7 linked regions of the Mus musculus genome follow. The protein of the gene in region 2 interacts with the protein of the main gene of each other region in a pairwise test. Links are inferred from orthologs where the notes say so. Each region holds a gene or a part of one and is shown on either strand. Other genes may lie near its edges.

Region 1 (3,500 bases), on a different chromosome or scaffold from region 2:
AGGACCATGATCCCTCAGGGCTGCTTCAACCAAGACAGGGCACCCCAAGCCAGGGTACCCCAGCAGCCCCCCTGGAGAACAAGGCAAACAGCAGCCCTCTTCCAAAAACTCCGGAGGTGTGGCCTCCCACTCTCAGAGTCTGCCCAGGCTGGCCCGCAGAAGGAAGCTAGGGCTTAGCCCCTGCTGAAGGGAGGTACTCTGCCAGGGCAGCCCTCACTGTGAGCAAGCAGCCTGCCCTCCTCCACCAGGGCAGGTATTTACCTGAGTTTTGATCACTAATCCCCTTCCCCACGAAAAGCCTATTTAATGATCAGGGATTTTAAAAGAACAGAAAGGCCTAAAGACTGTAGCCAACCCACACGCCAAGGCTCCTTTGGGAGCCAGAGTCAACCTTTCTGGGGAGCCTTCCTCTGAACACCAGCATATTTTACACATAATATCACTTGCTCTACTGCCAAGGACACATGCTTCCCAAGCTGCTGGAACTCCTGGGTTGAATACACAAAGCAGCGGTCTGACTTCTCCATGCCAGTCCCTCAGGCCCAGGCCCAGCAGCCATCTGCTGCATGGAGGGCGGAGCTATTGTCTAGCTCCAATAGGGATCAGGGCCAGGCTTGACCCCAGATCCCCTAACCAAGCTTTCTGCACGTGAACGGACAACAGCGGGTACAGGCAGACAGAGCCTACTCAGGGCTCACAGGATGTATCAAAAGCTGCAGAGAGGAAGGGGAGGAAGGGAGACTGAGAACAACTCCAAAGCCTGGAACCCCACTAAACTAACAACACAGCCCCACACTCACACTCCTGGACCTAAGAGACTCAGTGTCTGCAGGGAAGAGCAAAAAGATATCTGGAAACCCACAGAGCCAAGAGGACAAGGAGGGCGATCACTGGGGACTGGGGCTGTCTCCCTCCGTGAGTGTCTTGAAGTCCATGGAGAGGGCTTGCTCTTCAGCCTGGGAAGGCCGCTTCCAGTCAGCCTGAGCCAAGATGTAGAGCACAACCACCCCAAAACAGACCAGCAGCAAGCCTAGCACGTTGGCCAGCACCCCCTCAGGTTCAAACGTGCTGTACTTGGACCTGTAGGGTAGGGTGAAGGGAAAAGCCACCAAGGGTTCCAGTTAAGACAATCATAGTCCAGGCCTTAAAGATGCCTCGGGTTTCCCGATGCCCAACCTTCCACCCTCCCAGTGAGAAGCCAGCTCAGAGAGAGGCTTCCAGGAAGGCAGAAGGCCCTGGCGCCCTGCCTCTCCAGGACACTTACCCCAATTTAAACAGCAGGGCCTCCTTCAGGCCCAGTAGGGCTGTGCCCACAGAGAAGAGGAAGATGGTGGCACCAAAGAAAATGTGCTGAGGGCGGTAGCGGCTCCGCAGAGAGAATGAAGCTCCAGGGAACAGGAAGAAGCTGAAACCCACGAGCCACTAAAGGGAGAGAGGGCTCTGCTGAGCCATGAGCTGGCTGGGACCTAATAGGAGGCATAGTCGGTGGGTGGAATAAAGGAGTCTGGGGTACCCTGGCCTCTAGAATCTAGATTCTACCCAGGTCAACCTCGGAAAACCACCCAACTAAATCCATCTGCTCTTTTCCTTTCTGGACATGCCCCCTGGAGAATGGGCCCCTACATGCCACACCTGGACCCCATTTGCCCTCCCTTTACCTCTCCCAGCCCTTGCTGCCACAGCACTAGACTCACCTGCACAAAGTACAGAACAAAGACTAAGATCCCACACCAGCTGTGCAAGCTGTACAGGTCTGCATAGCCCTTCTTCTTGTGGTAGTCGAACACAGCCACCAACCCTGGAGCAGAGGCAAGGGCCATGTGAGGACAGGGCTAGTCATGGAGAAGGGAAGGGAGGGGAGGCCTGGGAGGAAACACTAGCCAGAACGTCTGGGCTTTGGTCCAGCCAGATGATGGCCAGCACCCAGTGTCCCTGCCTGTGATGCCTGTGAGAAGAAGAGTAGGGGCAAAGCCAAGCAGCTTGGAGCAGGAACAGTGTGTGTCCAGCAGCAGCTGCTGGAGCCTGAAGCAGCAGGTAGAGAAGGAAACGCTGTGTTCAGGAACTCACCCACCAGGGCGATGATGAAGGCGAAGACGTGCAGCAGCCCATGCAAGATCTTGGTCGTGCGTTTGGCTTCTCTTCTGAAGACACGGTACACCAGCAGAGCTTATGGAAAGTGAGAGAAAGATGTAAGAGTGTAGGCCTGTGCTGGACAGCAGACTATGCTAAGAGCTTGTCGGTCGAGGTTTGCCAGGCACAGAAACTGAAGGAGAGATCAGGATTCCATAAGGACCTTGCACTCATCCTGGTCAGGGTTCCCCTGAGTCCTTCTTCTACCCCATGCACACCCAGGGGCCATGAGAAGAGGCTACGCCACACCTCTGCTACCATCGGGGCAGCAAAGGCAGGGCTCTGCAGAGCACCCTGAGTAACTGCTTGGCCTGAGATATAAGTCAGTGATTCAGTATTTAGGACTCATCATGCTGTCACACTGAGGTGATGGCCAGACTCTGTGTACCCATTAACAAAGTACAGTTCTGGAACCTTCCTGGACAGGCACGTACTGCTCTTGACAGCCAGATGCTACGCTCTCAAGGCTTCATGTGATCCTGCCTAATTTCCACTACCCCTGGATGCCTCCTAGGACCTGCTGCTGAGAGGTGGCTGTCGGTAGGCCCCACTCCCTACCATCTAGCCCCCACAGGTGGTGTGCTTATTAGACCAAGCACCTGCTGGCTCTTACCCCAGGGACAGACAGACCCTCTAGCTCAGCCAGGTCCACAGGAAACAATATACACATGCATGTATGTCTACTTCTTTTCCCAACTTCCAGCTGCCCCTGAAGATAACTAATAGCCCAGTCTGGCCCTGCTCTATCTAGAAGGCAACTGTAGCCCTGGAGATGCCATCTGCTGAAACCAGAGGCAGGTACCAGTGCAACCGATGGAAAGCAGGTATCACCCTCCAACCACAGTCCCCCTGGACTCCCTAGATTCTTCATCTGTCTTGTCTAGAATCATCAATTTGTCTAAGTGGAAGGAGTGTCTGGTGGGACAGGATCCCTGTACATGGCCTCTCCCAAAGACAGCTACAAACTGAGGGACAGAGAGTGGCTGAGGGAGCTGGCCCCACGGGACTCACCATCTCCTTGAAGGAAGATCATGCCTATGACCATGCAGAGCGGGTGCACATTAAACTGCAGGGAGCTTTCCCAGGCAATGCCACCTCGGTACAGACCCAGCCACGCACCAGTCACAGCCACTACAGTGAGGCCCAGCAGCTGGGAGAAGGCCACATAGTACGGCAGTGCAGCAGGGACAGACGCAGAACTGTGCTCCATTCTGAGACCCCAGCTGCAAGAGAGAGAGAGAGAGAGAGAGAGAGAGAGAGAGAGAGAGAGCTAGCTAAAAGGAACCACCCATGACCTGTCCCCGGGACTGCCACCTCTTCCACCCCAGGGCCTAAGCCGTGCACGCCTCTGTTCACTCTCCCACCATTAA
Region 2 (3,983 bases):
TTAGTTGAATCTGGGATAAAATGTCTTCAGTGGGCTAAAATTCTCCTGAAAGTGAAATTCAAGATGAATAAGGAATATGTGATTAAACTTAGTCTGGTCAAAATTAGTTAGAGCAGAACAAAGTGACACAGATCTGAGCCTCTCATTTTGTAAAAAGCCTACTATGGAGTTTCAACCTGTTGTCCCTTCATCGCCCCCCTCAAAAACAAAGTTTCTCAGTAGACACTATATTATGGAGGACTGTGTACTAAACTGGAGGATGGCAGAGCACCTTCATCCTAGTTTTGACTCAAGCTAGGATATCTTGGGCCACTTACTTCTCCCTTGAGGCCTGTATGTTCTCCAAAGGAATCAATAAAATAGATTCAGGAGGTACCTTACAAATCTGGAAAACATAAATTCCAATTAATGCTAATGAATGTAAAGAACTGGTATCATTGCTTTGACTGCCCCATAGACTAAAATAGACTAAAGGATAGCAGATAAGAAGCTGTGCTGAAACACATAAGTATTTTTGCTACATCTGATGTAAGCAACTAAAGGCCATTGCAAAGCTGTGAGAGTCCCATGCCATCACAGAAGCTCTAGTATACTGCTGTCCCACAATCTCTAACCAGCGCTCTGTCCATCCTGATTGCCAAAAATCCTTGACCACCATTTGAGTAATTTCCTGATTTCTTTTGAGTGAGTGTGTGTGTGTGTGTGTGTGTGTGTGTGTGTGTGTACATACAGAGAGAGAGAGAGAGAGAGAGAGAGAGAGAGAGAGAGAATATCAAGGTGCAGCTGCTAAGTACCTCTACTAGGATCCTGGAGGGGGGTAGTAAATAAAAGACCCAGAGTCCTAATTCATTGTCATTTAGCCCCGGTGTTTAAAATTTCAAGTATGAGAAGCCCGTCTACTGATTCTCTTCTTTGATACGCAGTTATATAAATTTGAGTGTCTTTGAAAGACATTTTAGGTCTGAAGCAATTTTACAAAGCACATTGTTAAGAAAGAAAGGAAGGAAGAGAGACACAGAGAGAGAAAGGAAAAGAAGAGAAAGTGTGTGTTCTGACACTAGAGTATTATTATGAATGTGACACCTCTAAAGTGTACAACTTGGAAAGTCAAAGCAACACAAATAATGTTTAAAGAGTTGTGACAATAACTATGGGTATAGCACCAAGTACAGAAGGCTTCCATGTCTCACCTCAAGTAGCTTACTTACACAAAGTGTCGTTTTCTCCAGAAGTTACAAATTCACCATTAATCTTTAACCACCTCAAAAAGATTCTTGGATGTTCTGCCTAAGATTCAAGTGTGAGACAGCTATGGAAACCACAGGAAGACTTAATATCAAGTACACTAAATTTGCTGGAATAACGAGTAAGAAAAACAACTACGATAATGGTTTGCTAAAAGAGATACAAACCCTCTAAAGATTATCAAAACAAAACAAAAATCCAACTTCCTGTTCCAAAGGCAGCAATAATGAAAACTCTTCACACCCACTGCACCCAACTCCATCTACAAGAGTGTCAGAACCGGCATGCAAAGGGTGAGTTTTATTTCCATAGATTTTTTAAATTGCTGTTCAGAAGTTGTCTAGCAAGACGGCATATTTCTACCAGAATTCCTCAGGGGCGCTGATCCTAACTAGAACGCAGAAGAGAATCCGTCTCAAGTTGCAGGTAAGTGTGAAAAAAGCTCAGGTCCTGGTCAGCGCACAAGAATCCAGCGCTGAAAGTATGGTTAAAAGTTGTTTCAACGGGCGTGGAACAGTTAGTACAGCTGTTTACAGCTCCAACTCCAAAGAGGAGCCTGCTAGTGCTGGCATCAGCTCGGGACACGAAGAAACAAGCACCACGGGCAGAGAAACTCACCAGGGGGCACGAGGGGCCAAGCTGCTCGCCGTTAGACGGCCACGGGGGCGGCGCAGGCACCTCCGCGCCCGGATGGGTGCAAGGCAGGCCAACTTTTCGCTAAGCAGCCCACACCTCCCCGGGGGCGGCGCGTGCAGGCTGGGCTTTCCAACTCCACGGGACCGGAGAGGGTCTGGATGAGCCAAGGCAGGAACCGAGAACAACCTGACCTGGACAACCTCTCCCCAGCACTCCGGCCCACTCCCAGCTCCTGCCCTGGAACTTGGCTCTGAGTGGCAGAGTCCCCTGAGCCCTGAGGCCCAGGCCCCCGCCCAACCGAGCAGGGGAGGGGGCCTCCAAGGCCGCCGCCCCTCCTAGGTGACTCACCTGGTGCCGGTCCTGGGAGTCAGGGGGGAGTGGATCTTCTCCCGGTTCCAAAGGCTGCTGTTGAAAGGACGGCTGCCCCAGGTGGCGGGTGATGGGACCCACCGGGTCGAGGCTCCCAGGGCTGCTTAGGGTGCCAGAGGTGCCAGGAGCACCCGGGCCACCGAGGCGGGACTCGGTTCCCCGTTCCCGCCGCAATTCGGACCGCAACTCTAGGTAGCAGCACAGCGTCAGCAGGTGGAGGGCCAGCGAGAGGCCAAAGAAACCCAGGAAGAGCCGGCAGCTGTTCCCTTCGCCCGCCCGAGCAGGGGCCCCGCGACAGCCGCAGCCCTGGCTGCCCCGCTCCCTTGGCGCTGCCGCAGGCAGGGGTTCCCTGCGCTCTACCTCTGGGTAGCCCATGGCCTCCAGAGACAACCACTATCTGAGGCCCGGGAGCCTCTGCCTCTGCCTCAGTCCTTCACGACCCCTGACAGGCGACTACTGTCCTGCCATCGGCTGGGGGCTGCAGGGACCCGTTCCTGAGCGACGGTGGCTGGGCGGGACAGAACAGGGAGCAGCCGCATGTGCAGCTCCACTCCGAGGGGTGGGAAAGGGAGGAGGAGGGGCGGGCGAGAGGGGCGGCGCGGCCAGAGAGGGAATGAGGGAGGAGGTCCTCACCTACCCCGCCCCATGCCTCAAGGGGCGGCCGGGACGCCCAACCACGGGCCCGCCAGGCCTGGCTGCCCCGCCCCCTGCCGTTCCACTCGGGCCTCCAGCCGTGGGGCGGGGCCTGGGGGCGTGGGGGTTCACCTCTGCCTGGCAGCCCCACCCAGCTCTTCCCGCTTGCCCCGTTGCAGTTGGTGAGGGCGGCTGTCGTTCATCTCTAGACTCCACCCCGGTTTAACCCTTCAGCGCCGCTATGGGGGAGGGCAGGAGGGGGAGGCTGAGAAGAATTTGGGAACCTTGGAAAGAACGTGGAGAAAAGAAAAGGAGGCAGAAACTAGCATTAATAGAAATGTTTGCAATTAACTGCAGTTGCTAATAACATCATCCAGTACTTATCTGTTGCTTTCAATCTTCAAAGCGTTTAACAGACGTTAAACTAATTAAAACAGTTCAGGGTTTGGAATGAAACCATGCCTGCTGTGTTTGCAATTCAATGGCTCGCCAGAAGAAAAGGAGACCTAGGAGCCTGGGAGCCAAACAGACTGGGAACAGGGCAACCTCACTCCTAAAATGAGTCTTGGGGCACAGTCTGAGGGCATAGAGAGGGTGCCTAGTGCCAAGTAAAACTGAAGTGATGCTGTCCGTTGAAGGCTAAAACCGTTTCCTAGGATTTCTTGATATAGTAATTCATTCAACAGATATGCATTGATCCCTTTCACAGTGCAGAAAGTACCGTGTGAGAGAACCCTCAGGCAAAAGTTTATCTTTTTCCAGAGCTGCACAAGTTTTGGAAGAACTTGAGCCTTCGAGGAGCAGGTGGGGAAACTGAGGGTCATGATGAGGTGAATTTTTACAGGGGTGGTCCACAGCATGGCCAGACACTATTGGCATCTGTATTCGCAGGCAACTGTTCTGGCCTCTCCACCCTTCCCATGCTTCCCCTGGAGTACTCCCTGGGGTAAGTTCAACAAGTCAGCCAAATGTTCCAGATGTACACTGCTGCAACGGCAGCATCTTCAACAGCTGCACCAATCAGAAACAGGGTCAGAGGGGGGAAAATGGCAAATGTCAGAACAATAGACCTGGAAATGAAGGATGGAAAAGATTAGTTG
Region 3 (4,244 bases), on a different chromosome or scaffold from region 2:
AACTTCTCGGATAGGGCCTACAACCGTGACCAACCCATTGGCTTCTCCTCTCTCCAGCTTTCCAAATTCCCGTTCCATTTATTAGCAAAGAGCATGTTCCATCTGCCCCCCAACACACACACACACACACACAAACAACCCAACTTTGTCTTTCCATTAAAAGAGTCCTGTCAGATCAAACCAAAGGACTATTTCCCATGTCTTCTATTTCCTAGATATTTCTAGGATAGAGGTTGTCTCTGCCTTCTTAGATTCAACAGAGGAGACCTACATATTAGCAGCTGTAAGGCCTATTAAAGGGGAGAGTGTATTTTACAGGCTGTATTTTACAGGCTTAGCAAGGTTCCGAATAAAGGAAAACACAACCGGCTAGGTCTGGGAGCCCATAAGGCATTTTAACAAAAGGCAATACGCTGTGGGAAAGCAACTAAATGGAAGAAATTTGGGCTTTCAGGGGAAAACTAAGGGAGATAAAGGCTATTTCTGTAACATTTCTACAAACTCCAATTGCGGCTGCTTACAGAGACATCTGTCTCTTCCTCAGAAATGAAAATATTTACACATGGGAAATTTTGTGTTGCAAATATCTTCTCATGTAACACAGGAAAGGAAGTTCCGGCTACCTTTACAAGGAGAAACTTAAATCGGTCTGATTTTGTACAGAAAAGGAGCGCAGCCAATTCCCCTTCTATGTCTCTCTCTTTTTTAAAATTGATTTCAGCTACAGTCATCTTTCCGCCGCCCCAGTGGTATATTTTGGAGTGCAGATGGATCCCTCTTGCTATCCATTATCTTCGTCGCACTTTTGTTCTCTTTTGAGTATTTTCTCTTTCTAGTCTGCAAACAACCCGAGGGCAGAAACTACACCTGGTTTTGTTCATCCCAACGCCTACCCGGTTCCCCAGCATATGCTATGTGGGAAGCTTACATAAATATATAGGATCTCTGCGGGGCGCCCCCCCCCCCACTTCCCCATCCTTTTTGTCACCAAGACTGAAAAGCTCTCCGACTCCCAAGAGGAAGCATCTTTATGTTCACATTATGACTCGTTGACTCCCTGCGGGGGTGGAGGGGACCTCATGGGATCTGTGTTAGGAACCCAAGGAGAGAAGCAGAGACCACCCATCTCACGTGTCACAGACTGGGTGGTGGGAGGAGAAATGGGCTCGCGGGGCAGAAAGTGAGGCGATCCCGCAAAGACATCGCCCGCATCTTCACGAGCTCCGCACGCTCTCTTCTCGAGACCGCGGGGACTCCGGGCCGGAGCTGCCCCGCACGTCCCCAGCTGGCCCCCCTCAGCCGCGGAAGGAAGGACGCCGGCCCGGCCCGGCCCGGCCTCGCGCGCCCCCACGCCCCCGCGCGAGCCGCCGGCGGAAGTGCAGCGGGGTGCACTTCCGGGTGTTGTCTGGCCGCCGCCGCCGCCGCGCGTCTCGGGTCTCCCGGCCACCGCCCGGGTCGTGGAGCCAGGAGCGACGTCACCGCCATGGCGGGCATCAAAGGTGGGCCTGGGCCGCGGGGCCGGGGCCGTAGGGATGGGGCGGGGCGGCGTGGGGACGACCCAGCCGGGCTCCTCCGGCGGTGGCGCTCCGCCCCTGGACCAGAACGGGGCAACCCGGCCACCGACGCGGTCTGCGCGAGTTTGCACCCAGAGACATTGAGGGCTGCGATCGGGAGGAATGCCCGGCACGGCAAACCAGTGTGGTTTCCCACCCGAGGCACGAACGCGCCCGTCTCCCAAACCCGGGCTCTGCATCCGCTCCCGGGATCGCGGTGCACAGGCTTTCCCTGCCTCTTAAATCGAATGCATCTTTGGTGTTTTTAAGGTGCAGTAGAGCCCGGATGCTAACCCAGAGTGCTCCTGGCTTCCTTTCCCCCACAAGTGCACGTTGACACTTTGTAGTTGTGATTTTTTTTTTTTTTTAAGAAGAAAGGTAACGAACACCTTGATGAAAGGTTACTTGTCTATTGGTGTGTTTTCTTCAGAGAGAACGGGATGTTGCATTCTTTGAAGACAGGGAACTTGGCTCAGTAGTAGTCTTGCCCCTGGGGTTAGAAGCAAAGTTTTGTATTTACTTATCAGCGGATCACTTTGATTTCCTGACCTGCTTTGTAGAAGAGATAACCTAGTTGGAAGTAAAAACAGTTGGATAGTGGTGCTTCCACCTCGCTGGTAAGGGCGACTTTGGCTGAGCTTTTTCCCTGGTTCACGTTTTTTCTGGTGTCTTGTTTATTTTCGGTGCCTAAAAAAAAAAAAGATGTTATTTCTCGTATAGAACCTTGTCATCTGAGCAACTAGGACACTTTCGGATCTCTTTTTGAGCTATAATAGACCCTTTCAAGTTCTAACGTGGATGGAAGTTACTGTAAAGTGCTGTTCTTTTTAGGATGTTGCCTGCGTTTCTCTACCCACCTGCGGTGTCATTAATGAGGGACTCTTTAAAAAAAGAAAACAGTTTTTATGGTTCTCCAAATCTGGATAATGTTAATCCTGGTGACAGTGACTGGGGGGGGGGGTAATTTTACTTTTTAAAGATTTCAGTGCCTTTTAAAGTTACAGGTTGCTTATCAAGATATTTCTTCCTGTTGGCCTTTAGATTGCCCTTAAGTAAGGAGTATTGCTGTAAAGACCATTACATATTTCTTGAGCCAGTTGCCTGCTACTCTGTGATACATTATATTTTCTGCTAACTCCCAGGCCGGGGAACTTGACCCCTTCACCTCTGTCTTTGTAGTCCATCTTTAGAGAATTTTTGCTAGGTAATTGGGCTGTTCCATCCCTGGCCCAGAGGCTTTGGAAGTAGAAACCACACTCCTCTCTGTTTCATTTTCCGAGTGTTGCATCAGTCAATTACTGTATGAATCCTTACCTTACTGGTGTGTCACTTAAGACACCGTTGATATAAAATAAGCCACCTAGCTGCCAGTGTCATAAGACTGGAGAGACGTTACTGGTTTGGGGAGCATTGTGGAGCAGTTTGTTTACGTGTGTCAGCTTTTATCTGTGATGACTTAAGAGATGAGATGTCACATGCAGATGGCTTTGAACGTCTTTTAAATACTGAGTATCGAATGCATGGAAATATGACCCTAGGGTATCTCCATTCCCCAAACACTTCTACAGGGCTTGTTTTTTCATATGTGAGTACTTGAAAGGAATTGGATCTTGTATAAATAAATGCATCGGTAATTTTATGGGCTGGAGAGATGGCTCAGCAGTTAACAGAAGAGATGAGCTCAGATCCAAGATCCGAGCATCCCTACCCAGCAGCTCACAAAAGCCTGCACCTCCAGCCCATAGTTACCTCATCGACACACAGACAGACACACACCTCCATAATAAAGTAAGCATTTTAAAATAAGGATTCTCTTATAATATTGATACAGTGGCTGTAATTTAAGCTCAAGTTTTAAATGTGTTTCAATGCCAGAACCTTATATTTTGGTTTCTTGATTTTTTTAAAGTATTATGAGTTAACTTGTGTTATTAAACTTTTGTATTAGCATTTTTGAACATTATGCAGTCCAGGCTAACTGGAACCCACATTCAACTTGCCTCAGCCTTCTTACTAGGATACACTCAATCAATCAATCAATCTCTCTCTCTCTCTCTCTCTCTCTCTCTCTGTGTTGTTGTTGTTGTTGTGGTTGTTGTTGTTGTTGTTGTTGTTGTTGTTTGATACAGGGCCTCTGTGTATTACTGACTATCCTGGAACTCACTCTATAGACCATGCTGACCCTCAAACTCACCTGCTTCTCTGCCTCTCTGCCTCGGCCTTCCTCCTGGGTGTGCACCAGCACCTCTGGCAGCCTTTTCTTATTTATAAAAGGAAGAACCCAGTTAAATAAAGGTAACTAGTTAGTGGGCAATAGGGGACACAATGCTGTTGCCACTCCACCCCCTCCCCCCCAGGCTGTATTCATTCTTTGTTACTGATTGTTTAAGCTGGGACATGGGTGACCAAAGCTGACCAGGAACATTTGGAAAGGAAAGATGTTTGGGAAGCAGTTTAGAATTGCAACTCTGGTGACAGAGCAAGGAGCTGCAGCTGAAGGCCCGGCACACACCTGCACCTCTCCCTGCATTCCTTGACTATTGCCCAGTTGCCACCTCTTCAGAGACACCCCGTCAGTAACCTGCCTTCCCACCCCTTACCCTACCTGCTTGTGGTCATCACTGGACATTTGTTCTTTAAGTCTTTAACTTCCTTCAGAGTTCATGTTTACTGAGCAAACAGAATGTCCCA
Region 4 (4,272 bases), on a different chromosome or scaffold from region 2:
ATTATAATTGTATTTTAGGCATTGAGTTATAATATTCTAGTTTAAGAAGACACCCCTGAGCTGGTCAGTGCTTCTTCCGGGCTTCTAACTTTCCGGCTTTCTATCAAAGCACATACTGTTTCATATGCATGGTCTATGCTGAGGAACACTTACCAGACCGAGTCTGCCTTCTCCCTGCTCCCCAGGCAGAAAGCCAGCCCTAATCTCTCCAGGAAGAAACAGTCAAAGATGGCAAGTGAGCCATGGAAGGTCTCTGGAGAAAGTGACAGATGTGGGAGGTGGGCAGACAGAAGGTGGCTGAGGTAGAAGGGACACATTTTTTAAAACACAAAGGGACAGATTCTGGTCAAGAGGGGACCCTAGAGACCCCTGCTACCACACACGGGACTGGAGAGCACACCGGTGTGGGGCATTTTCACTAAACAAATAATGCTGAGATTTTTCCATACCAAGAGACTCTCTTCACGGGGATGGTGGGGTCCTCCTGCCCTCTCTATGGATTTGATTGTCCTGCCTGTTCCTATCCTCAGAACTAGCCTTTCTGTCATACTGAATAACTAAAAAAGTGGGAGAATAACTAAAAAAGCGGCTGTGGACCTGCCATCACCAGAGCTCCCCTGCCCTTGTGTGTGTGTGTGTGTGTGTGTGTGTCTACAATCAAAGTTTTCGCAAAGAAGCATGAAGCCCAACTGCCACTTTATCTCATGACTTGGTACGGTGTTCTCCAAGGAGCCAACAGCAGTTTCTCGAGACTAAGATTTTTTTCTCCCTTAAAAACCTCTGTGCCCCACCACACCTCAGGTGCAATCTTGCTCTCTTTTGATCAGACCTCTGTAAGTTCCTCTTTGTAAAATTTTGAGGAGCCGCCCATGACTTAGTCCCAGGTCCTGGATACCATCTGCTCATTTCTAGAAACCCAATAATGGGCAGACATAGGTTAAGAGATGACAAAGACAAGAATGCTCCTCCCCACCCCCTGGCACCCAGTAGGTGCTTTCTCATATGGGCCAGATGCCTGTGTCAACTACATTAAGTTGGCACTGTTCCAAGGTTTGCTTGGCAGTCCTGAGCCTAGAAGGAACTCTATGAGATTGGAAGGCTTGCTAAAGACCTGGATGACCTTGGCAAGTCCAACCCTGTTCTGGGCATTGGCTGTTCCTATTTGTAAGCTAGCGGTGTGCAGGGTTTCTTATGTTAATTCCATAGCCTGGGCCGTGATTGTGCCTGGGGTGTGAAATCACTTTAGAAATACCCACGTTTGGGTTCAACTCAATATTCATCTCAATTTCAGTGACATCCCCTTGATGATGGATCCTACTGTTCTTGGTGTCCACAGCCTCCTTTGCTAGCCATCCAGTTAGCTGGGATCCAGTTGTTAAAATCACCTACACTTTTTTTCTCCAAGTTATTACTCCACACAAAGACCTCTGCGTGGTGGGAGCACAGGAAATGTTGTCTCCACACCCACAGAATTGAACAAACACCCTCCTGTCCAGGTAAGTGCTAAAGGACCCTGGGGACTAGAAACTGAAGTAGCTCTGAAGCCTGGCTGGAGCTCACAATAGGAAAGTTTCTCGAAGCTAGTGGGTCGGTTCTACAGTGTAAGGCTAATAGAACCCAGCCCAGGCGCAGAGTCAGCCCAAGGTCAGCCAAGGCAGGCGACAAAATTCACCTGTCTTCCCTGACTCCTCCCTCCCCTCACACAGGGCTTGGGGACCGCGGCCCAGCAAAGCACAGCCACTGTTTTTCAAAATTGGCACAGAGGCATTTCCTTCCCAGAAACTTCAAAGGGCCTGAAAAAGGCTGGCTACTCTTGATCTCCAAATCTCTGTCGCCAGCATGGAAGGGTTCTTTAGCTGGGTTTGTTTACTCAGGAGGACTCTCAGTGGTACCTTGTAAGGAAGCTGCGCTCGGATAGGAGCTAAACTCTAGGAAGAGGTTTTTCTGCACCTGCCTGGGAAATCGGTCCGCTAATTTAGAAAGGAGCAGACCACGGAGAGATGGGGAAAACTTTCCCGATTTTAGTTCCCTCCTGTGACTGGGGACAGAGCTGCAGAGCTCCCCCCCCCCCCAACCCCTCCACCCCACCCCCAGCAACTCAACCCACCCGGTCCCTTTCCCAGAGCAGGGCGCGTTATCACTCACAAACTCACAAACGAAGAGCAAGTCAGGGAAGGTGGTGAAGACCGAGAAGCCACTGGGCAGGGTGCTGCCACCCGAAGCCGCTGCCGGAGCCATGCCTGCGAGCTGGCGTCGGCCTTGGGACTGGACACGCTCGCCTCCGGCTCCGCACTGACCACTCGCTCCCTCCGGAGAGCCCAGTGGCCGCGGCGCCCTCCCGCGCGGGTTAAAAGCTGAAAAGCCAGGGTCAGAGGAGGGCGGAGCTCCGGCCACCCGCCCCGCCCGGGTCTACTGCCCTAGAGGACAAGGCTGAATCGCCTCTGGCGCCGCCCTGAAACCCGACGGAGTGCTCTCTGAAGATCTGCAGGACTGGGTTGGGAATCTGTACGCTCCTGACCTAACCCTAGTTGCCACCTGCCTGAGGGCAGTGGATGGAGCGGCTCGCGCGCTGCACTTCCCTGTGTTGCGCGCCACGCAGGTGATCACTATTCATCAATAACCTATCGGAGACTTCCCCACTTTGACATCCATTCCCTTTAACTCTAGTCGTGTCTCCAGTCTTCCGCTGGGTGTGTTAATGTGCAGCCTTCACATCCAAGCTCCCGGAGGGCACATTTCGATCTCACCGGCAGGCTGGGGGTTCTAGGGGCAACAGCAAGGCTCGTCAGGGAAACTATATGCCAGCAGGAGGGAAGGAAGTGACTCTAAGGAGAACGAATCTGAGAGGCTGTCTGGCGGCGGCGGTGGTGATGGGACAAGTTGCATTCCTGGGGCAGATATTGCCAGGGGAGATTCCCTCAGTTCTGGAGATGGGGCAGTTCTCCCCCATCCCGTGTCCTTTGACTCTATGGACTGCTGAGTCGTTTCTGGGGATTTACTCTTCTTGTACCACAACTTTACGTTTTATTTTTGCCTTTATTTTTAAACAAGTATCACACTCCAGTAACTGCCATTTAAATCACACCAATCCTTTTTTTTTTTCTTTTTAAATTACATACGGTAAGGCTAAACTCTGTTCTAGCTGAAAGGGAAATGGCCTTTCTCAACCTCCAGCTCAGATTCTGAACTTGACCTCCACCTACCCCAGTTGCCACTACTGTTCAGGGTCTTGTGTGTATAGGGTCCCTCCCACTTTCCCTCTGCACAGCCTTATTCCATTCCCTACAAGAAGTACATTTCTGGGCATATTTTTCAAAAGCAAGACTCCATGCCCATGAATTTGCTGATGAGAGCAACCGCTTATGAGAAAGGACCAGAGGTTTGAAGTGGGAAGATGCTCTGTTCTATTGTGAGCCTCTCCACGCTGTCAGCTTTGGATACCTGTGAGTGCCTCCGCCAAATATCCAGCTCCCCAGGTCAAGGCCTCTAGATAAGATGAGCTGTGAGATCCTCAGGGCCCCTTCCCCTATTCCCTCACCCTGGGCAGCTTACAACTTGGTAGCCCTGCTGGATCCTGAGAGTGTCTCTTCCTTCTAAGGAGATATTTAGTGGAGGCAAACCCAAGCAAACTGGCCACAGAAAGCCACCACCAGCCGGATATAAGATGACCAACTAGCAAATCCAGTTGAAGTTGGTTAGCAATTTCTAAGGGCGTGCATACTAACTATAAAAGCCCACAAAGGTGCTGTTGACTCTACAATGTCTTTGCCTGGCTTTGAGTGTCCCTGGTTTTGCTTATTTCAAACCTTTGTGGCTAAGGCCTTAACATTTGGGCTAATGACTTAAGGGGAAAGTACTGGTGCACTCAGGAAGGCTTGGCAGTTCCAATTCCCACAGGATAAAGTGGGGGAGGCTCTAAGTCCAGAGGGAGGATTAGCTGGTCATCTTGGCCAACGTCAAGGAAATCTGCCTCCCCATCCCTGTCTTGGTGACCCTCCCATCTCACCTGGAACCCTTTGCTCGATGCTCACCTTCCTGACCATAGTTTACCCAAATCTATCTGTCATCTTCTTCCTCAGTGAGACTGCCCCAAGTGTTAGCCAAGGATTGAGAGTAAGGACCAGGGGGACTCAGCTTTGTCTGCGCCTAGCAACAAAGGAAGCATGAGAATGACTCCATCTGGATATAGAGCGCCCTGGCTGTGTAGACGGGTCTGGTTTCACTTTCAGCTGAGCATCCCCAGGCTACACTGGGCCACTTGCTAATGATCCA
Region 5 (4,116 bases), on a different chromosome or scaffold from region 2:
CAGAGAAACCCTGTCTTGAAAAACCAAAATAAAATAAAATAAAATAAAATAAAATAAAATAAAATAAAATAAAAAGAATGTCTAATTACAGAACCTCAGGGTCTCTGGTGTGTCACTTAAAAACACTTTTTGAAACAAATGGATTTTCTAGATGTTTTCTAGCTCTTCCACATATGAAACCGTCCAGAGACCAACTTGACAAGAAATATAAATTAAAATAAATATAAATTAAACTTTAATTTCAACACTGGATGCCAGGATCCAGCATTTAGCCCAGTAACTTTCAGCCTCCAGACACCTGCAGGGCTCAGGCATTCTGTCCCTCCATGGTCATGTGAGCCAGTTCCTAAAGCAAATCTCTGAATCTGTTGTTTCCATTGCCCTGGAGAGCTGAAGTCCATCAAAGCCAAGGCTCAGCTGAAGCAGAAAGATGCAGAGAACCAAACTCGACCCTCAGCTTTGCTTTGTTCTCTTTGTAAGAAAGAAGAGGAAAGGGTTGAAGCTCAGTCCTGAGGCCCTGTGGAAGCCCTGAGCGGCTTACACGTCTGTGAGGGGACTGACTAGGTTGAACAACACTGCCGATGAAAGAGCGAAGGTCACACTACCACTGCTTCCTGTACAGCTCCCTGGGCTGTGCTCCTCAGCGTATGCTGATGGGTGGGGTCTGGCGCCCCTAGGTGCTTACCAACAGTCTCTCAGGCAGGAGTACTCATACAATGCCTTTGGCCAAGCAACTGGTGGCAGGTCATTCCTCCAAATTGAGAGCCTTAAACTGCTGCCATCTCAGAATCAAGCCTGAGGAGAAAGAGGAGCGAAAGCAAGAGTGGAAACATTGCTTCTCAAGCCTTTTTCTTTAGACATTTTTTTTTCCTCTCCAGTGCTTTCTCTAGTCTGAACCCACACAGTTCCAGCAAAATGACTGTCACCTTGCTGTTTCTCATCTGTACCCCTTTCCCACGCGGTCCCCTTCATTTTATGCTGGGCCACCATTTTTTCAAGACAGCAGTGTGCCCTGTCCCCACCCACTAGGATCCAAGTGTCAGCCCACCCCTACCACTCCACCACTTCACCCACACACCTGTCAGTCCTTTCGTTTATTTTTTAAGAAGTCAGTGTGTGTGTGTGTTTGTGTGTGTGTGTCAGTTATTTCTGGCCCTTGGTTGAACCTTGGAGCTAGCAAAAGTGGAAGAGCTCCCCATATCTAAGAGGCCCTCCCCTGGCAGTGCTTCCCTCATGCAGGACTGGAAGAGACTGGAAGAGGGCATGGGCAGGCCACACTTAGAAGCACTGTGAGAAGGTCACAGACTTGTGTGTTGGCCTTGTGCAGATTATCTTGGTCTCATTTGAGAAAACTGATAATATCATTCTTTCTTTCCCATATCCTTCACCACAGCATCTTGAGAACAAACTGTCCTAATGGGGAAAATGTGTCATGCTGTTATGAGGGAAAACCAGTGTGCAATGGTCATGGGGTCCTTTCCGGGAATAAAAGCTTTACTGCCTGCAGCTTCATTCTGTTTGCTTTGACTGGTCTTTAAAGAATGTATTACTTTATCCAAAACAAACAGCAAATGCTTTCTGTGAACAGATGAACCTGAGTGAACGCACACCTTTAATCCCAGCACTCGGGAGGCAGAGACAGGCAGATTTCTGAGTTGAAGGCCAGCCTGGTCTACAGAGTGAGTTCCAGGACAGCCCGGGCTACACAGAGAAACCCTGTCTCGAAAAACAAAACAAAACAAAACAAATTCCCTCCTGCCCAGCACTGTGAATGTTCACCAAGAAAAAGAAAAGTGATGGGAAAGAAAGAAAATTAAACCTGCAGGGGACGGGGAGATAAGATAGCCAGTCCAGCCACTCAGTGAGTACTGGATTCAGTGAGATGATACGCCAATAGATAATTTAGCCAGTCAGAGAGTGCAGACCACAGTCAGTGATGGAAAAAGACATCTGGTGTCCCTTTGCTCTCCAACATCGAGGAACCCAAGGCTCTGGGGAAGAGCCTGGGGTTGTTCTTATCCATTGATAGAGTCCTGACCCCGACTGGATAAAGCGAATGCTAGTCAGACAGCTAGGGTTCCTTCTGGACGATGGGTAGTGTATGAACTTCAGATCACCCATGGGGCCCACGTTCCATCTTCCTGCCACAACTCTAATTTCCCAGCTCACAAAACCCGGTCTGATGCCCCGTCCCAAAGACTGGTTCCCCTCCAGCTGCTCTCTGGTTCCCAGACACTCAATACAAGCCTGGCTGACAGCTCTAGGGAAATTGCTTTAGAAGCTTGTCTGCTCCCTTTCGCCCTTGGAAAGCAAGGAGAATGTCTAAGAGTCCACCTCTCCTGAGTCCTCAGTGGTGTGTTAGCCTTGTTCTGTGAGGGAGAAAACTCACTGATGTTCCACAGACAAGACTAAAAGTCCCTGGGGAACAGGAATTTCTCTACAGTCTATGAAAAAAGATCAGTTGTCTTTCCCTTCAGGTTGACACTAATTGTTACTGGTAGATTTAAGGGTGAGCAGGATAGAAGAACACCACACACACACACACACACACACACACACACACACACACACACCACAAGATCCCTGTTACCTGGTGAGTTCCTGAGGATCTTTCCATTCAAGATCTATAGCCACTGTGGAGCTACCTTCCAGGCCTAGGCAGCCTCTCACATTGGTTTGTAGTCTTTCGTAAAAGTACAAGAGCTACAAGAGGTGAAGGCCAGCTCACAAGATCTGTCTTCCAGGGGGAGGAAGACGGTGTCTCCTGAGGGGTGGGAAAGGGTGATGTACATGAGTTTCTCTGAAAAGGGGTGCTCTGAGGGCCACTGAAGAAGGCAGCCAGTGGAAAAGGTTGATTTAAAAAAAAAAAAAAAGTTCTGCTTCCTGCTCCACCCTCATCGGCCACACCACTGAGATGTTTGTGTACAAAGTATTCTCTATGGGCCTAAGAGAATCTAGAAGTCTAAAAGCATGGGCAACCCAAGACTCTAGCTTCTGCTCCTCCTCACCAGGCAGACAGCATGCATCTCTTCTGCTCTGCTGTTTACCTCTGCCATCCGGAGGTAGCTTCTTAGATGGAATTTGAGGTGGCAGTTGAGCCTAAAGTGGCTCTCTCCAGGGCCCACTGGACAGATCAATAGCTATCATGCTTGAGCCTGGCTAAGGTACCCTGGCTTCTAGGGAGAGTATGGGAGAACAAGGCTTAGGTTTTCTCACCTGGGCAGACCTTGTCTCCACAGAAGCCATGAAGCTAGCTACCCAGTCTATAGTATGGTTTAGGCAAAGCAACAGCACTTAGTGGAATCCCAAGTCCCTGTGCCTCTGCCTGCTGCCCTGCAGGACTCAGGATCCGGAGTGAGCCAGGTCTCCTCCCTGGAGGAGTTCCACTTAGCCGTGTGTTTGAGTTCAGATCACTTTTTTATTCACTTGCTGTTCTTTTCCGCGTATGAGTGTTTTGCCTACATGTATGCAAGTGCCCTCTGCACATGCCTGGTGCTTGCAGAAGCCAGGAGAGGCTGCTGGATCCCCTGGATCTGGAACTATTAACACTTGTAAGGCTCCTTAACTACTGAGCCATCCCTCCAATCCCAAGTTTGGGTGATTTTTTTTTTTTTTTAAACAAAAGAATGTTCAAGGAGGAGAGTGGGATATGGGATCTATTTGGGTGAAATGAATATAGATGTTGTTCCTATAACCTGCATGTTCATATCCTTAGCTTTTTGTTTTGTTTTGTTTGTTGGTTTTTTTCGAGACAGGGTTTCTCTGTGTAGCCCTGGCTGTCCCGGTCTGTAGACCAGGCTGGCCTTGAACTCAGAACTATCTGCCTGCCTCTGCCTCCCAAGTGCTGGGATTAAAGGTGTGAGCCACCACTGCCTGGCTGTTGTTTTGTTTTGTTGTTTTAATTGACATGTATGCTCTTGTGGGTTCCTGAATCCACCTCAGCTCCTGCAGTGTGATTTCTTCCTCACAGAACTCAGGGATTGTTTGGAACCTTTTCTCACTGCAGCTTTCTGGTCCACGCCTCCAAAGGGAAGGTGCATCCTGCTGTGAAGGGACGGTCAGCAGGAAAGGAAGCCAGACTGCAGCCAATGAGAACAAGAGCCTGAGGCTCAAAAC
Region 6 (4,035 bases), on a different chromosome or scaffold from region 2:
CTTTTACCCACTGAGCCATCTCACTGACACCCAGGCTGAATACTTTAGACACTTTACACATTTCCTCTCAATAGACTTCCAGTATCCAGTCAGGCTGACATTATTCTCATCTTACAGATAGAACAATTGAGGCTTAGACTCTTTTTTGAGACAGGGTTTCTCTGTGTAGCCCTGGCTATCCTGGAACTCACTCTGTAGACCAGGCTGTCCTCAAACTCAGAAATCTTCCTGCCTCTGCCTCCCAAGTGCTGGGATTAAAGGCGTGCACCACCACTGCCAGATGAGGCTTAGACTTTCTTAAGGCCACACAGTTAATCTGTATGGCCAAGGATTCTAACCAGATTTGTCTGACATGAACACCTAAGCATTATGCTTTCTGTTGATGCCTGCAGGGTGTACTCTAGCCATGCTCTACCCAGATTTTAAAATGGGGGCTCTGCAGCATATTCAAGTTCCTTGAATTGGTGTATGCCTTTAAGCCTTTTTTTTTTTTTTTTTTTGTATTTTAAATATCAGCAAAAATAAAACCAGGAGAGCTTTGCTTCTTTATTTTAAGTCTGAAACAACTTTCTGGCTTCATCTTCCTGGATGAAGCAAAATCTGCTTTCCATCTCTTGATTCTTGGTGTCCAGGTGGCTAGCTGCTGTGGGGACCATTCATTCTATTTCCCTGTTTCCCCATCACAGCTGCTACTGGTACTAGGCCATCAGCAATATCAGTAGGTAGAGAGGCAACAGGAGATTGTCTATCTGAGTAGTGTACGCTTCCAGAAGGGATACAGTGCTGATGGACCCCAAAATCCAGGCATAACTGTAGTTCAGGTCTACTCCACTGTCAAAGATTAAGATTAGAGCTACAGAGATGATTTGTGCAAATATAGATGTCATAGTCCCCTCGAAGGTTTTCTTAGTTCCAGGCCAGCGGATCTCTCCCATGGTGCTGCCAAATATGGAGGCCACAGTATCACCCACACCCACAGCCAAGACCCCAGCATAGGGGACCAGGGCTCTTGCTCCTTCCAGGCTGTCCTTCTGTGTACAGGGTCTGGGGATCAGCCAAATAGGAAGAGACATGCCCAGAAGCAGGTAGATGTGTGTTAGGATAAGGGGTCCACTGTCTCGTTCATCCAGGAAGAGGGACAGAAGGCTTCGCAGAGTGTGACCCAAGGGCTTTATTCGGAAATAGCGCACATACTCCAGGAAGATGAAGACTGCCAGGCACACAGTGGCGGCCACATACAGCAGTGGCCGGTCAAAGATGATGCCCGGGATATAAGTGGCTACCACAATGAAGTGGAAATACTTTCTTGTAATGGTAGGCGCCCTGTGCTTCTTGGACTCAGAAGACGACCGCTTAGCATTCTGGTACAGCACCACCAGGCAGGCCACAGAGGCCAGCAAAGACCAATAGGCAAGGAGGTAGATGCGAGTTTCAGTGTAGAAGAGGAACTGAAGAAGCCAAAGCAGGGGGTTCCTACGAATGAGCCAGTGCAGCCAGGGCAGAACCACACCAAGGCCCAGCACACAGGTCATGAGGTGGAAGAAGATGGAAGAGGCCCAGGTGCCTGAATCCATGAAGACAAAGAGGGTGCTGAAAAAGACACCCATGAGCACCATCCCTACCACCACCACCAACAGGAAGAAGTCCACTGGGTCCCCCTGGCTTTCAGTCAGAGAGCGCTTGATGAGTTGGTTAAGGACGAAGCTAATGCCACCCAATACCAGCAGTGCCTCCCCAGGAGTGAAGCATCGGGGCAGCAGGTACAGCAGGATCATGTTGAGATAAACAAATATTAGCAGGACTTCCAGGACCTCGATCACCTCGCCTACACTGAGCGAGTGCCTCATAATATAAATGATAACGCCTCCAGCCAAACCAGAGATGGCACAAGTATTGGTGGGCACCGGGCGAGTAATGCCCAGTGCCAACACGGAGGAGAAGAGGGCCACTGCCATGCCAGTAGCTGCAACCACAATGCCGAAGCGCTCGAAGTATGGGTTCCCTGCAGTCTGGCAGCGCTCCTTCATGACTAGCCCAAGCAAAGGCATGACCATGGAGGCCGGCAGTAAGCCGCTGTTCGCGGACATCCGGAACTGGAAAACGGCATTGCCCTGCTGGAGCAGCCGGTCCCACTTGTACTGGACGTAGAAGGCCTGCACCGCGAGGGCCACCGCGCACCAGGAGTATCGGTCCCACACTGCAGCGTGGATGCTCAACACCACGGCGAACACCACTGCAGCCTCCGCCAGCACCGACCCGCTCAGCGCAGCCCCAGACTCCTGGGGAGGGCACTGTCGGGTCATGTCTCTAGGTCTGGCGCTCTTGGGAGAAGAAGTTTGGTGACTAGGGACGCCTTGGCCTCTGGGGCCCTCAACCCGCCAAGCAGAGGGGCAGCAATTTCACCCAGCCAGCAACCTTCTCCAGCTTCCAAAAGGGTGTTCCACCACGGGCCACTCTGAGGCCTGGGAGCCGGCGCCCAGTCACCCGCCTCCGCTGTCAACCTACGGTGTAGCAGATGTTTGCCCTCTTCACCGCTCACAGTCTCCACCGCCTCCACCGCGGACTCCCCTCGCACCAGGGCAGCGCCATCTTGACAGCCCCATCTTGACCACGCCCACCATCACGTGGCGGAAGCCCACGCCCCCAGGCTGGAGGATCCCAGTCACGTGGGTACGGCGCATGGGGGCGGGGCTGGGCCGCGCGCGCGAAGATGGCGGCTGCCGCTGGTGGGCCGTGTGTGAGGTGCGGAGTGGGGCGCGGCAGGGGGTGGCCGTGAAGCGCGGGCTGGGAGCTGGGCGGGAGTTGGGACCGGGGCTCAGCCGCAGTGGCAGAGACGAGCCCCGGCTGGGTGGACGGACACTTGCCGGGGAGGCGGTTAGGTCCAAACCGTTCCCGCTCGCGGGGCTGAGGACACTTTTGGAGCGGGCCTGCCGCTCTCCCTTCTCTCTCCGTGGTCCCTGAGCCTCCGGTAGTCCCCATACACCCACGCTTGCTCCACCACGTTGCCTGTAGGCACTGCGGGACATTTCGGGGTCGCCTGGAAGACCCACCCCACTGCGATCCCTTCCTTGCTGTCCCTGCGCCCTGCTCCCCCTCGGGTGTGCCTTGCCCACGCCGCGATTTCTTCCCGCGGGCATCCTTAGTTCCCGCCTTCTTTTATTTTTGGCTAATGCCGATATTGATGCAATCAGCAGGCATGCCTTCATCTTCCATGCGATTCCGGGTTTTGTGCCAGGCTTCGGACACAAGATGAATTACCCCGAAACAAATATACAGTTCTCACTTAAAAGAGTGCTTTTGTTTGTTTGTTTGTTTGTTTGTTTCTTTTTTGAGGTAAGGTCTCTTGCCTCTCGGGCAGGCCTTGAACTCCTTGTTGTCTTGCCTTTGCCTTCTTGGTGCGGAAATTACAGACATGAATTTCGAGCCCTGCTTGCCTTTAAAGAGCGCTTACTAGCGCCAGACCCTGGGAAAGTGCCGTGCAGGCCTTACCTCATTCATTTCTCACGACTAGGAGAGGCGCCTCCTGTTCCACAGGACTCAGAAGTCCAGTTCATACATAGGCAGTCCCCCCTTGTCAGCCCTCGAGATAATCCCCGTGAGCCTTCAGATGGAAGGCTCTAAAGCCTTAACCAGACCTCTGTATGTATCCACATTATAGATCAGAAAGGGTCTTCACTGCCCTTCCTCCCCTTAAATGTAAACATTCCCTGTCAGTCACCTGGAATTGACTCTGCCAGTTTTATTTGGTCTTGTTTCCTGTGGAAACCTGAAACGCCCAGACAGACATGTAATTATCACACACATTGCTGATCTTTCTCTCCATTAGCCTCTTCACCTTCCAGGGGTAACATTTTCTTTGGAGTTTCCTGTGGATAAAGTGTGGTCCTTGCAAGGGCCGGTTTGTTTCATGCCAGACCTTGTATCCACAGCTATGGATAAATACTTGTATGAAAACTGTAAAAAAATGAATTTTTTCAAAAGGAAAGGAAAGTTTTGGCTTGCCAGCAGGCTTTGAGCTTTCTGTGGAACTTAGCA
Region 7 (4,083 bases), on a different chromosome or scaffold from region 2:
GCCAGGCGGTGGTGGCGCACGCCTTTAATCCCAGCACTTGGGAGGCAGAGGCAGGTGGATTTCTGAGTTCGAGGCCAGCCTGGTCTACAAAGTGAGTTCCAGGACAGCCAGGACTACACAGAGAAACCCTGTCTCGAAAAACCAAAAACAAAACAAAAAAAAAAAAGTGGGACATAATGGCCCACCTCTGCTCTCTCAGCTACCCAGGGTGCTGGGGCATGAGGATAGAAAGTTCAAGGTCAGCTGGGACCATTTATCCAACCTATTTCCAATAAAATAAATAAAAAGAGTTGAGAGCACATGCCTAGAATCCACCAGTGTGGAGCTGGGCACATGCCTCAGAGATGAGAGTCCGTCTGGCACGCCCCGTGTTATAGCCCCGGTATTGGGAGAATAGAAAACAAACAAACAAAACGACTTCTTGAACAGGTGCCCAAGAAACCACAGTTGGCGGATATGATGCAGAACATTCCTTCTGTGGATCCTTTAGCTGCCCCCATCCCTGGAACCCAGCTCATTTACCACCACTGACTTCTCAAGCACTGGCTCACCGCAGAGCCTCTAAGGCACACAGCTCCACTCTCCCTCTCCTGTGGGGGCCATGGAGGCTGCTCTCAGGAGAGGGCTGGGAGCCTCCAGTGGCCCGCTCCCATTCCTCGCCACCGTTCCCCAAGCTGGGGGAAGTGCTTACTGGTGCAAAGCTGGCAGAGGCCGGTAGCGTAGAAGAGCCCTCCGCGCCGCATGGTGTAGAGTTGGAACATGAAGAGGATGAAGGACAGGCAGCAGAGGATGAGAGACAGCACCATGAGGGCCTGCACTGCCTTCAGCCAGCCTACAGGGGGCGACACAGGTGAGGTCACAGCTGGAACCGCTGTTCCCACTGGCTGGACTCTACTCACTGTAGGTTCAGCCAGGCAAGCTTCAGAGATGTCCGTGTTACAAGGATTACAAGGGTTACCAGGGAAACATCTTACTGATGAGCCCCATCCCCACACTCACTGGCGGTCACTTCGAATCCTGAAAGGAGGCAGGCCACTCCATCTCTTAGAACTCTGGCCTCTCCCTATTCTCCCTCCCACATCACAACACTCGCTCCATTTCTTTACAACTCTGAAAAGTCTTCTCAGAATTTAGGGAGCTTTCTCCCCTGTTCCTTAAGCTACAGCATGTGGCTCCAACCTCTCTGGATTTATTGGTGCCTTTCCATCCAGACAAGCTGCCTATGGCCACCCCAGGTGCTCATAGCCTAGTCTAGGCTCCCAACCCTGGCCCTGGCAGGCCTTCCCCTGCCCTCAGCCATATGCTCACCATTCTCACTGACGTTACTGCAGGCCCATGTTTGAGTGGTGGTGTTCCACGTGCAGTCATACCACAGGTTCAGGGACTCTTTGTCTGGGAGAGTCCACCAGGACTGGAAGGGACAGAGACCGGGGAGGGTGAGGTGAGACACAGGACAAAAGATGTCAGGGAGAGTGGGGATGACTCCTGATGGCCAAATGCATGGGCTAGGCCAGGGGAAAGTACACACGCAGAAGTAAGAGTAGGGAAGGGGAGGAGTGGGGAGGAGGAGGCACAGAGGTAGGGAGGAAGGGAAGCAGAGGCAGGTAGGTGGGGTCTTAGAGATGGGCTATATCTGGGGTTCCCAGTGAGCTGGAAACTTACCTTGTCCAAAGTGGCCACAAAAAGCAAGACAAGAATGAGGATGTGGAGGGCAGAGACCACCAACAGGAGGAGTGACATGGCTGCCAGATGTCTGGCTCAGGGCAGGAGAGGCAAGCCTGCAAAGGGTGGGAGCACTCAATCCTAGGGGAGGAGGGCTGGAGAATGGCTTTCTAAATCAGAGAGGAGGGCCAGGGAGGTAGGGAAGTCTCTGGTGTGAGGGAGAAGGGGAGTAGGCCGAGCAGTTCCTCCCTGGGGAGAAGGGCAAGCCAGGGGACTCCTGCTCTTGGAGGCGGGCAGAGACTGTCCTAGATGGACTTTTGGGAGACAGAGGAACGGGCAGGACTAACAGTGAGCTGGTGCATCTTCAACACTCTGTCCCTGGGCCGTGTGGGTCTCCATATGAACCATCAGGAGCAGGAATTGCCCCCGGGACAGGCATCCTTGACTCACTGACTCTCTTCTTTCTCCTGGAGTGAGTCACGAGTGACTCATCCCCCCTCCCTCCAACACCAGGGAAATGCCAGCCTCTGGCTGAGTCTCTGGTCCTCACCCGACCTGACTGCAGACCCCGGCTCTAGACACTCAGGGAGGTGGATTTGCAGCAGGGAGGGTGTGGTCTGAGTGGAGAGACCACCTCCTACCACCCTTCAGTGTCCAGAGAACTCAGCCAGCCCTGGGAGCCCTCCTGCACCCCTTCATCTAAGAAGGGAGTGGAAGACCCCAGGGAGAAGCCACAGGACATTCTTCATGGTGGGCTCTGTTGGGACAAGTCTCATAGACAGCTCTAAGCTCTCCTGTATTCCCACTACAAAGGCTGAGAGATCAGTTCTTCAATTACCAGTCTCCTCTGGAGCTAAGAGTGGAGGGTCTCTTCCTGCCTAAGGTGCCCCGCCCATGGTGCCATGCCGCCCAGTAAATAAAGCCCCATCTGAATAACGGATTGAAAAACTTACCGAGAGTTGCTGAAGAAGTCAGAGTTGGAGTCTGTCCTCGTTGGGCCTCTTGCCCCGCCCTTCTGCTCCCTCCTTCCACTCTGAGGCCCCCGCCTCCCTCACCGCCTTCCTCCCACCCTTTAATACCCACCCTTCTCCGTCTGCCTTCTCCCTCCCTCCCTTTCTCTCTCTCCTCTGGTGGTTTTCTGCTTCTCTCGACTCTCAATATATACCAACCCTTTTATATCCACTTTAGCCTCGCCCAGCTGAGGTCTCCAGTCAGGGGAGGGCACGAAATCTTGGTTCCTTATTCTCTGCCCACCCAGTCACACAGAAGGCATGTTCTGGGACCTCCTTTCAGGGCTCAGATGAGAAGTCCTTGAGGCCCTGGGGTGGAGCATGTTACCTTCTTGGACTGGATGCCTGCTCTCTTTGATGAAGTTTGGGGCAGAGTAGATGACACAAGAATCTGTAGAAGGCCAGATCCTGTGACACAGATCAAACTTTGGGCTGGCTCATGGCAGGACAAAAAGTATGAAATTACGGGAAGGAGCAGGATATAGCTTTAAAGAATGCCAATGTTGCCATTCCATGGTTGTGTGGCCTGGGATAGATTATTTCACTTACTTGGGCCTCAGTTTGCTAATCTATATAGTGGGTATAATACACAGTCAATAAAGAAAATAGACGGATGGCAATAATGACTAGGTGGGCAGATGCTAATTTAAAAAGGATAATCCTGGAAAGCTTCTTGGAGGAGGTGCTATTTGACCTGAGTCATTTGGATACTAGGGAGAAAATGTCCCAAGCTTTGAGAAGAAACGCTGGCCGTTTGGAGAGCAGACAGAATGGCCAGTGTGTCTGGAGCACAGAGAGCGTAGGGTGTGGTGAGCGGGACAGCAGAGGATTCACTTGGAAGTCATGGAGGAATCAGGATTTTACTGTAAGTGCTGTGGGAGGCCATTAGAATTCTCACAGCACTCTAGTCCCAGGGTTATAGTGTGAACTATCATTTATTCTCAGAGTTAGGGGCTGTGGGTGATGAACTAGGACTGATGAAGTTAGGGCTGGGGATCTGGATGATGGTGCTAGAGCTGGGTGTGATGACCTAAGCCTGCAGGGGTGAGTGACCAGCTGGCTTGGGGATTGCGAGACTGGGAGCTGGGTACCACACAGCACAGCCTCTGCAGCATCCATTGGCAGTGTGACCATAGGCGTTACTGATGACGTCTCCACTATTTTCCTTCATCTGTAAAAGAGGGATAGCATCGCGGCTAGCTTAGATCTAGAGCAGTGCCTGGTAATACTGTACAACTTAGAGCGGGCTTTGGAGCCCCGAGTGGAGTCGAGGGAACTCTGGCTCTAGTAATTGGAGAAAGGGCAAAGACTTGAGGCCAGTGCGTCCGGAAGCTAAAGTTTGGAATCTTAAATGAGGATGGATGGAGGAGGGGGACAGAAACAAGGGGAAGTCTAACTCTGACCCTGGAGA

The links.
Region 1: the proteins of Eda (region 2) and Cyb561 interact in binary tests that used the Homo sapiens proteins (3 or more experiments, as listed by UniProt). The two-hybrid records come from large-scale screens. The link is inferred for Mus musculus from reciprocal best matches to the Homo sapiens genes EDA and CYB561.
Region 3: the proteins of Eda (region 2) and Leprotl1 interact in binary tests that used the Homo sapiens proteins (3 or more experiments, as listed by UniProt). The two-hybrid records come from large-scale screens. The link is inferred for Mus musculus from reciprocal best matches to the Homo sapiens genes EDA and LEPROTL1.
Region 4: the proteins of Eda (region 2) and Mal interact in binary tests that used the Homo sapiens proteins (3 or more experiments, as listed by UniProt). The two-hybrid records come from large-scale screens. The link is inferred for Mus musculus from reciprocal best matches to the Homo sapiens genes EDA and MAL.
Region 5: the proteins of Eda (region 2) and Gimap3 interact in binary tests that used the Homo sapiens proteins (3 or more experiments, as listed by UniProt). The two-hybrid records come from large-scale screens. The link is inferred for Mus musculus from reciprocal best matches to the Homo sapiens genes EDA and GIMAP5.
Region 6: the proteins of Eda (region 2) and Dolk interact in binary tests that used the Homo sapiens proteins (3 or more experiments, as listed by UniProt). The two-hybrid records come from large-scale screens. The link is inferred for Mus musculus from reciprocal best matches to the Homo sapiens genes EDA and DOLK.
Region 7: the proteins of Eda (region 2) and Emp3 interact in binary tests that used the Homo sapiens proteins (3 or more experiments, as listed by UniProt). The two-hybrid records come from large-scale screens. The link is inferred for Mus musculus from reciprocal best matches to the Homo sapiens genes EDA and EMP3.

Annotation. Positions count from the first base shown.
Region 1 is NC_000077.6:105,934,488-105,937,987, forward strand, and holds part of Cyb561 (cytochrome b561), read right to left. Parts: intron 3,354-3,500; coding exon of another isoform or gene 3,341-3,353; coding exon 3,142-3,340; intron 2,167-3,141; coding exon 2,068-2,166; intron 1,799-2,067; coding exon 1,695-1,798; intron 1,467-1,694; coding exon of another isoform or gene 1,423-1,466; coding exon 1,265-1,422; intron 1,081-1,264; coding exon 888-1,080; 3' UTR 1-887. UniProt on the Homo sapiens protein: Transmembrane reductase that uses ascorbate as an electron donor in the cytoplasm and transfers electrons across membranes to reduce monodehydro-L-ascorbate radical in the lumen of secretory vesicles.
Region 2 is NC_000086.7:99,974,423-99,978,405, reverse strand, and holds the start of Eda (ectodysplasin-A), read right to left. Parts: upstream 2,801-3,983; 5' UTR 2,626-2,800; coding exon 2,230-2,625; intron 1-2,229. UniProt on the Homo sapiens protein: Cytokine which is involved in epithelial-mesenchymal signaling during morphogenesis of ectodermal organs. Functions as a ligand activating the DEATH-domain containing receptors EDAR and EDA2R. May also play a role in cell adhesion.
Region 3 is NC_000074.6:34,143,940-34,148,183, reverse strand, and holds the start of Leprotl1 (leptin receptor overlapping transcript-like 1), read left to right. Parts: upstream 1-1,444; 5' UTR 1,445-1,483; coding exon 1,484-1,499; intron 1,500-4,244. UniProt on the Homo sapiens protein: Negatively regulates growth hormone (GH) receptor cell surface expression in liver. May play a role in liver resistance to GH during periods of reduced nutrient availability.
Region 4 is NC_000068.7:127,653,896-127,658,167, forward strand, and holds the start of Mal (myelin and lymphocyte protein), read right to left. Parts: upstream 2,801-4,272; 5' UTR 2,239-2,800; coding exon 2,146-2,238; intron 1-2,145. UniProt on the Homo sapiens protein: May be involved in vesicular trafficking from the Golgi apparatus to the cell membrane. Plays a role in the maintenance of the myelin sheath, and in axon-glia and glia-glia interactions.
Region 5 is NC_000072.6:48,768,052-48,772,167, forward strand, and holds the start of Gimap3 (GTPase IMAP family member 3), read right to left. Parts: upstream 2,801-4,116; 5' UTR 2,591-2,800; intron 796-2,590; 5' UTR 686-795; intron 1-685. UniProt on the Homo sapiens protein: Plays a role in T lymphocyte development and the optimal generation of CD4/CD8 double-positive thymocytes. Inhibitor of GSK3A, possibly by sequestering GSK3A in cytoplasmic vesicles and impairing its translocation to the nucleus.
Region 6 is NC_000068.7:30,283,729-30,287,763, forward strand, and holds Dolk (dolichol kinase), read right to left. Parts: upstream 2,627-4,035; 5' UTR 2,304-2,626; coding exon 699-2,303; 3' UTR 501-698; downstream 1-500. Other genes in the region: nucleoporin NUP188 homolog, read left to right, coding at 2,711-2,742. UniProt on the Homo sapiens protein: Catalyzes CTP-mediated phosphorylation of dolichol, the terminal step in de novo dolichyl monophosphate (Dol-P) biosynthesis. Dol-P is a lipid carrier essential for the synthesis of N-linked and O-linked oligosaccharides and for GPI anchors.
Region 7 is NC_000073.6:45,918,627-45,922,709, forward strand, and holds the start of Emp3 (epithelial membrane protein 3), read right to left. Parts: upstream 2,801-4,083; 5' UTR 2,616-2,800; intron 2,224-2,615; exon of another isoform or gene 2,010-2,223; intron 1,779-2,009; 5' UTR 1,741-1,778; coding exon 1,663-1,740; intron 1,412-1,662; coding exon 1,309-1,411; intron 833-1,308; coding exon 692-832; intron 1-691. UniProt on the Homo sapiens protein: Probably involved in cell proliferation and cell-cell interactions.